2 linked regions of the Neurospora crassa OR74A genome follow. The protein of the gene in region 1 purifies or fractionates together with the protein of each later gene. This does not show direct contact. Links are inferred from orthologs where the notes say so. Each region holds a gene or a part of one and is shown in the gene's direction. Other genes may lie near its edges.

The links.
Region 2: the proteins of NCU09552 (region 1) and NCU04327 purify together in Saccharomyces cerevisiae (affinity purification with western blotting, with the first as the bait; 3 studies listed by BioGRID). This does not show direct contact. The link is inferred for Neurospora crassa OR74A from reciprocal best matches to the Saccharomyces cerevisiae genes TOF1 and MCM2.

The regions. Positions count from the first base shown.
Region 1 is NC_026505.1:4,564,141-4,568,124, reverse strand, and holds the start of NCU09552 (topoisomerase 1-associated factor 1), read left to right. Parts: upstream 1-1,173; 5' UTR 1,174-1,342; coding exon 1,343-1,417; intron 1,418-1,477; coding exon 1,478-3,984. Other genes in the region: NCU09553 (3-hydroxybutyryl CoA dehydrogenase), read right to left, coding at 1-363, 439-555. UniProt on the Saccharomyces cerevisiae protein: Forms a fork protection complex (FPC) with CSM3 and which is required for chromosome segregation during meiosis and DNA damage repair. FPC coordinates leading and lagging strand synthesis and moves with the replication fork.
Region 2 is NC_026505.1:5,630,912-5,634,887, reverse strand, and holds the start of NCU04327 (DNA replication licensing factor mcm2), read left to right. Parts: upstream 1-1,176; 5' UTR 1,177-1,328; coding exon 1,329-1,333; intron 1,334-1,416; coding exon 1,417-3,787; intron 3,788-3,929; coding exon 3,930-3,976. Other genes in the region: NCU04328 (metaphase-anaphase transition protein), read right to left, coding at 1-211, 271-325, 380-513. UniProt on the Saccharomyces cerevisiae protein: Acts as a component of the MCM2-7 complex (MCM complex) which is the putative replicative helicase essential for 'once per cell cycle' DNA replication initiation and elongation in eukaryotic cells.

The DNA.
Region 1 (3,984 bases):
GGGGTCCTTGGTGGTTGAGGCGGCGATGCGCGTGATGGAGATGGAAGAGGTGTTGGTGGCTAAGATGGCGTGCTTAGGGCAGATCTCGGCCAGCTTGGAGAAGATGTCGAACTTGAGCTTGGGAATCTCAGGCACAGCTTCAATCACAAAATCGACGCTGTCCAGGTCCTCGAGGATGGTGGTGGGCTGGAGGAGCGCGCGGGCGGCGTCCGCCTCATCCTGAGTGATGCGTTGCTTGGCCACATCCTTGCTGAGGAGCTTGTCGGCGAATGCAAGGCCCTTGTCTAGAGACGTTTCAGAGGCATCCACAAGGGTGACGGGGACTCTGGCCTTGGTGGCGGCGACGAGGGCGATGCCCAGGCCCTAAAGGAGAAGGAGGACAAGTCAGCCGTTGCCGTTGTTGAAGACATGGGCATGAATGATATGGGCCGGACTCACCATCTGGCCGGCGCCAACGACACCGAGCCTCTTGACCTCGGCAGCGTTGCGGGCGCATGTCGAGCTGAAGGCGCGAGCGCCCATGGGCAGCTTCTGGACGAGGGTTCTAGCAAGCATTTTGCGAGATCGTCACGGCGAAAGTAAACAAAGCAGACACTGTGACTGAGAGAGACTGAAAGGAAAGGGACAGAAAAATCGGAAGACTACACCTAGGTAGGCAACCAGGGCACCTCTAGAGAATGCGAATGCGACGATGTGAAGTTGTCGGATTCGGTTAACCTCGGCCGTCCTCGTCTCCAACTCGACGTCACAAGCCCGACCCGGGCCACGGGGGGGACATAACATACTGCCGTACAGGAGCTACGGGCGGCTCTAGCCTTTTCTTAGGCGGGGAAAATGGGGTCGGTTTTAGCGCGTATGGAGTACTATGTACGCTACCTAGAGGTACAAGCATGTCGTTCAGGGGGGGCAATTGCGGGCATGATTCCCGCGCCAACTCAAGATCCTCGGCTGTCGTTGATTGCCCGTCCACAGGGGTAACTCCGCAGCTCTCCACGAGGTCGAAATCGGGGTGCACAGGTACTGCTGCAGAGGTATCTCTAGTAGGTAGCTAGGTACATTAGGTACCTACTTACCCAGGTATCTTAAAACAGTCCGACAAAACGCTTGGGGAGATAAGCAGGCCAAGACCAAGATACCACCAATTTCCATTAAAAAGTACGACACGGTCGGCGCGTCTCCCACCACCACAAACGCGTGTCCCGTCCCGACAAAGTGCGCCCGACCAATGCCACCATCCATGCGATAACAAAACGACCTCCAAGACAAGCTGAGAGTTGGGGAGAGTCTGTCTAGTACTCGTATGACTCCGTTCTGGTCTTGGACGCCGTGATTTCTGCGCAAAATGGAGGCCGCAGACATCAACGACGATGTCGTCCATCCGGAAGTGCGGGCGCACATCACCAACCTGGTTTCTGCGGTATGTCCACTTCTGGACTCGTTATATACACGGATGTACTGACTCTGGCGACCCGAATAGCTCGGTGGTTACAGCGCGGACGATGATGGAAGCTACAAGCTCGGTGACGAAGCGCTAGACGTCTTGCGCGACCTGAAGAAATGGATCCGATTCTACGATGAAAAGACCAATCGCATGGACGTCGCCAGATGTCTGGCTGAAGCGAACCTCGTCGGCGGCGATCTGCTCCAGATCCTGACATTATGGCCTCAAAGCGAAACCGACAGCAAGTACAAGGCCCGTATTGCTCTGGCGTGTTTCGAGGTCATGGTGCCCCTTACTTGGCCCATAGAGAAGGAGCGCGCCGAAATGACCATCAACCACCATCGTCACATGCCCGTTCTGCAGCTTGCCCAGCTTGGCTACAAGCGCGCCATCATAAACTTCGATGCGATACCCATCCTCAACACCGCCGTCAGGGTAGCCCTTCCCTCCATGGCCATGCCTATCGGCGAGCGGACACCCCGTGACCAGGCCATCATCAAGCTCATTCTCTTCTTTTTGAGGAACGTTGCCATGATCGCACCCCCGCAAGGTGTCAAATGCGAAGGCGACGAGACACAGGTATCCAGGTCGGCAACCATTGATGCCTTTTCGTATCAAGACATATTTCTCACTCTGCTGACCCTTGCCTCCAACATGGGCGAGGACTTCCGCACCGAAGATGTAGTTATCATGGAAATCATCTTTCATCTTGTAAAAAGAGTTGACCCCAGCTCGCTCTTCGTCAGTGAAAAGCAACTCAACAAAGCCAAGGGGCAAGAGCTGGCATCGGAGATGCGCAAGGAGGCTGCTATGCTAAAATCCTACAACAAAACCACCACCACTCGGCACAGTCGATTTGGGACCATGATCTGGGTGAAACGAGCAGATGGCAAGATGGTGACGGTATCTGGCCAAGAGGCTCTTTTGGACGCAAAAACGCGAGAGAGGAAGATGGATAACTCCAAAACATTCAGACCGCCAAGAAGAGCGAGGAAACCCGAGATGGAGCCCAAGGACCTTGGCCCTCCGGTGACGCTAGATGAAAGAGCTCGTCAGCAGCTGCGATCATTCGTCCAAGACTTCCTCGACTCCGGTTTCAACCCCTTGTTTCTGCACGTGAGGCAATCGATCGATCGGGAGGCATTGCATGCATTGAACCAGCATAAGAGCCAGTTCTTTTACCTTGTCGCCTGGTTCCTCGAAGCCGAGCGGATGCGGAGAAAGGCCAAGAGGGACGAGTCGAAGTCGACGTCCGCAGCCGGAGAGGAGGTGAACAGTTTTAACCTCGTTGCTGCTGTGCTCCAACAGGAAATGTTCGCTTCCATGAATCGTGCGCTTGACCGGTCCTATAGTGATAAGGATTGGCAACTGCTCACGTCCGTCATGCGCTGTTACACCCAGATCTTCCTCACAGTCCAGGAGATGTCAGAGTCTCCCAACGAGGAAGACCAGGAGATTGCCGAAAACACCCTGAGCCGTCTCTTTTACGAGGAGACAACCCACGACCTTATCGCGAATATTGCTCGAACATACAAGGATCAAGGCTTCGAATATCTTGATGCCGCGACCGAGCTTGTCCACACTTTCCTCCGCATTTTAGAAGGTTACTCTAAGCAAAATGTCGATTTGCAGGTGCGCTCACGGAAGCGAGCTCGCCGAAAGAAGAAGGCTGCCAAAGCTGCTGCTGCTGTTGCTGCAGCTAGAGCCGCCGGTGAGGAAGCAGAAGACGTTGGCGTTCCCGAGGACAATGATGCCGATGATTCTGGGGACGATGAGCAACATGCAGAGCGGGTCACTCAGGAGCGCAAGTTCGAGTTTGGGAAATTCGCCATTCGATTCGCTCCCCAGGGTGTTGTCGACACATTTGTCGCCTTCACCAAATTCTACCGGGATTTGAACGACGCACAGCTGAAGCGCGCTCATCGCTACTTCTACCGCGTTGCCTTCAAACTCGAGCTGAGCATCATGCTATTCCGACTAGACATCATCAATCTCTTTTACAACATGGTCCAAGGTCCCGAGCCCCTCGACAAAAGCTCGCCGATGTTCAAGGAATGGGAGGAGCTCTCCAAGCAGATCATTCGGAAATGTGTCAAAAAGCTTCAAGAGCGGCCTGCGTTGTTCACCGAGTTGCTCTTTTCCAAGATTGGCAGCACGACGCACTTCCTTGAGCACGGCTATGAGAAGCCTGTCACCACAACTACGCCACGACCTGGTGCCGAGCTGGAGTTCAAGCGAGCCACAGAGCGCGACGAGCAGATTGGCATTGCGGTCAGCGTACTCATCGACAAACAGCAAGTCGAGCATCTGCAGTGGCTCAAGGATCAGCTGACAAGTGCAATGAGTGAGCGGCAAGCATGGGAGAACGTAGACAAGGCCATGGCAGCCACTACCGAGGGGGCGGCTGATGGTGAAGCTGCCGACGAGAGATCCAACAAATCAGCACCACCACATATCACGATCCGCCCTGATACCGAGGCTCGCCGCACAGCCATGTTCAAGAACCCGCACCTCCGTCTTCTCATGCGTCTAGTCGGTATGGA
Region 2 (3,976 bases), about 1.1 Mb from region 1:
GGAAGCGTGTGGTACCGCAGTCGCAGGTGAAGTTGCGCTTGGCAAAGATCTCGACGAGAGTGTGCTCGCCGTGACACTGGACGGAGCAGGAGTAGCAGATGCCGGCCGCATTGTAGGGCGCTTTCGGGTCGGCGGGTGGTGGGTTGCAGGTCAGGCAGGAGAAGACGGCCTGGCGGAGGGGGCCGAGGGGCTTGGTGCAGGTTTCGATGCTCTGGTGGGAGGTTAGGATTGACTTTAAGGAAAAGGGCAGAGAAGACAAGGGACACGCACGTATGGAAGAGCTTCGCGAGCGTCGGCCTCTAGTTGCATTTGGTCGCGGATGAAGCTAGACCATGGTTAGTACTTTGTCATGTGGTAAGTCCAATATATGACAACATACTCTGCGGCAGTCTGAGAGTTTTCTGACTTGGCGGAGAAGCTTTCAGTACGAGTCTTGGTGAGCGCGACTGGTGCTGGAGCTCCATGGCCATCTGGAGTGGCCTCGGCGGGCTGTTGCGCCGGTTGAGGGTCCATGGGTGATGGATGCTTTCACGGTCAATCTTGGATGGTCGGTGGTCTATCAAAATTGTTGATAAGACAAATGCCTCGAGATGGTGCTGGATCACGAAAGATGGGTTCTGTCCGGAAGTCTTTAAAACAAAAAACAATTGCTGGGGCGCGAAGAGGAGGAGGAGGAGGGGGAGGAGGAGGAGGAGGGCGCGTTGGTGGAAGCGTGGGGAGAAGGACCGAGCTTGCAATGTACCCTTGGTTTGGTGTAAGGCACTGTGGTCTATATGTCCAAGCAGCACAGATTGGAATTGGGTTCAAGGAAACCTATTTGAACGTGATCCGATCAATAACATGGCCCTGTAGTATGTAGCACCTTATAGCTCATGCTTTGCTCGTCATTGTTCACTGGACTTTGAGCTTTTGTGACTTTTTGGGAATCTCGACGAGTCGAATTGGCGTGTAAGAGCAGCACCAAGTGGGTCCGGTACGCATTGCCAAGCCCATTAAACCTCAGCAACCACTTAACGCGACCGCCCTTATCCGGCTTAGCGCATCACGTCTGGCGCGTCTTCCCTGGACTGCAACGCGAGAAAAAAGCAGGGACAAGGTCGCCGCAACGAAGGGCAACATTCATTCAGTGGTTCCTCGACGCTGTTTGTCTCCATTCCCCTCCCCCCCCCCCCCCCCTTCTCTCTCTCTGTCTCACCCCGCAACATATCCTCTTTCTGGCTGGCATTCATTCTCCATAGTAACAACTAGGCCAGCATCCTCCACTCTCTTGTTTCTTCCATCTGTAGCTGGCTACAGTCCTCTGAGATACCCTCAGCCAAGTCGCAATCATGAGGTATGTGTGCCTCTTGCTCTTTCGTCTGTCACGGCTTCTCTTCGCAAGTAAACAGTGAATTAACGGAAACTCTCCAATACCAGTTCCCCGCTTCGCGACAACCCGTCCTCTGCCAACCGTGGCGCCGTTCCCAGGGCCACTCGCAAGCGTGCGCGTAACGATCACGATGGTGCTTCCTCGCTTCCCCGCGCTTCGAGCCCTGTCATGCCCTCTTCTCCTCCCGCCTTCCCAGTTGCCCATGGCGCAGATGAGGACGACGACATCGAGGAAGACGTCGCCGCTGAAATCGAAGACGACATTGACGACCTCGACGAGTTGGCCGAAGACGATGTAGATTTGTTCCGCGAAGGCTTCGAGCGCGATTATAGGGAACGAGACGAAAACGACGCCTACGAAGGAATTGACATCGACGATGACGAGTATGAGGCCCTCGACCCCGCCGCAAGGCGCCGTCTTGAAGCCAAGTTGGCCCAGAGAGACCGTCAAGTGAGGATGGGAATGGGCACCACGTATCTTCCTGGTGATGACGACGATGGTGATATCGACCTTACCAACCTGGAACGCCGCCGAAGAATCCGCTACAATGAAGACCCCGATGTCGATATGGATGGCGACATTATGGACTCGGAACTTCCCCTCGAGGCCCTGATGGATGTCAAGGCTGCCACTTTGAGCGAATGGATCTCAGTCCCGGCTGTACAAAAGACCATCCGCAGAGAGTTCAAGGCTTTCCTCACAGAATACACCGACGAGAGCGGTTCGTCCGTCTACGGCAACCGCATCCGTACTCTTGGTGAGATCAACGCCGAGTCTCTCGAGGTCTCCTACGAGCACCTCGCTACAGCCAAGGCCATTCTCGCATACTTCCTCGCCAATGCGCCAACCGAGATGCTCAAGCTCTTCGACGAGGTTGCCATGGAAGTCGTCCTTCTCCATTACCCCGACTACGAGCGCATTCACGCCGAGATCCACGTCCGTATCTTCGACCTTCCTATCCATTATACCCTCCGTCAGCTCCGCCAGTCGCACCTCAACTGTCTTGTGCGCGTGAGCGGTGTCGTCACCCGCCGCACCGGTGTCTTCCCCCAGCTCAAGTATGTCAAGTTCGACTGCACCAAGTGCGGCGTCACTCTCGGTCCCTTCCAGCAAGAGTCCAACGTCGAAGTCAAGATCTCTTACTGCCAGTCCTGCCAGTCTCGTGGCCCCTTCACCCTTAACTCCGAGAAGACCGTCTACCGCAACTACCAAAAGCTCACCCTCCAAGAATCCCCCGGCACCGTTCCCGCCGGTCGTCTGCCCCGTCACCGCGAGGTCATTCTCCTCTGGGACCTGATCGACAAGGCCAAGCCGGGCGAGGAGATCGAAGTAACGGGCATCTACCGCAACAACTACGACGCGCAGCTCAACAACCGCAACGGCTTCCCCGTCTTCGCCACCATCCTCGAAGCCAACAACATTGTCAAATCCCACGACCAGCTCGCCGGCTTCCGCATGACCGAGGAAGACGAGCACGAGATTCGCCGTCTCTCGCGCGACCCGCACATTGTCGACAAGATCATCAACTCCGTCGCCCCTTCCATCTACGGACACACCGACATCAAGACCGCCGTCGCCCTCTCCCTCTTCGGCGGCGTCGCCAAGCAAGTCGGCGCCCACCACATCCGCGGTGACATCAACGTGCTGCTCCTCGGCGACCCCGGTACCGCCAAATCACAAGTACTCAAGTACGCCGAAAAGACGGCCCACCGCGCCGTCTTCGCCACCGGCCAGGGTGCTTCCGCCGTCGGTCTGACGGCTTCCGTCCGGCGCGACCCGCTCACGTCCGAATGGACTCTCGAGGGCGGCGCCCTCGTCCTCGCCGACAAGGGCACCTGCCTGATCGACGAGTTCGACAAGATGAACGACCAGGACCGCACGTCCATCCACGAAGCCATGGAGCAGCAGACCATCTCTATCTCCAAAGCCGGTATCGTCACGACCCTGCAAGCCCGGTGCGGAATCATCGCCGCTGCTAACCCTATTGGCGGGCGGTACAACTCTACCATTCCCTTTTCTGCCAACGTGGAGCTTACCGAGCCGATTCTGTCTCGTTTCGACATCCTTTGCGTCGTGCGCGACACAGTCGAGCCTGAAGAAGATGAGCGGCTGGCGCGCTTCATTGTCGGGTCGCATTCGAGGAGTCATCCGTTGATGAACAACAACACGCAGGACGCTAGCGGTGGTGACTCCATGGAGGTTGAACACGATACCCAAGCTGCTGCGGAAACCCAACAAACTGGTGAACACGGCCGTAAAAAAGAGGGCGAAATCCCACAAGAGCTGTTGAGGAAGTATATCCTTTATGCCCGAGAGCGGTGCCAGCCAAAGTTGTATCACATGGATGAGGATAAGGTGGCGAGGCTGTTTGCGGATATGAGAAGGGAGAGTTTGGCGACGGGGGCTTATCCTATTACTGTAAGTTCTTCCCTCTTTCCTTTTTCCTTTTTTTTTTTTTTTTTTTTTTTTTTTTTTTTTTTTTTTTTTTTTTTTTTCTTTCTTCCTCCGTCACAAAATACAACACAATAACAACTGCTAACCTCACCCACCACCACCTTAGGTCCGTCACTTGGAAGCCATCATCCGCATCTCCGAAGCCTTCTGCCG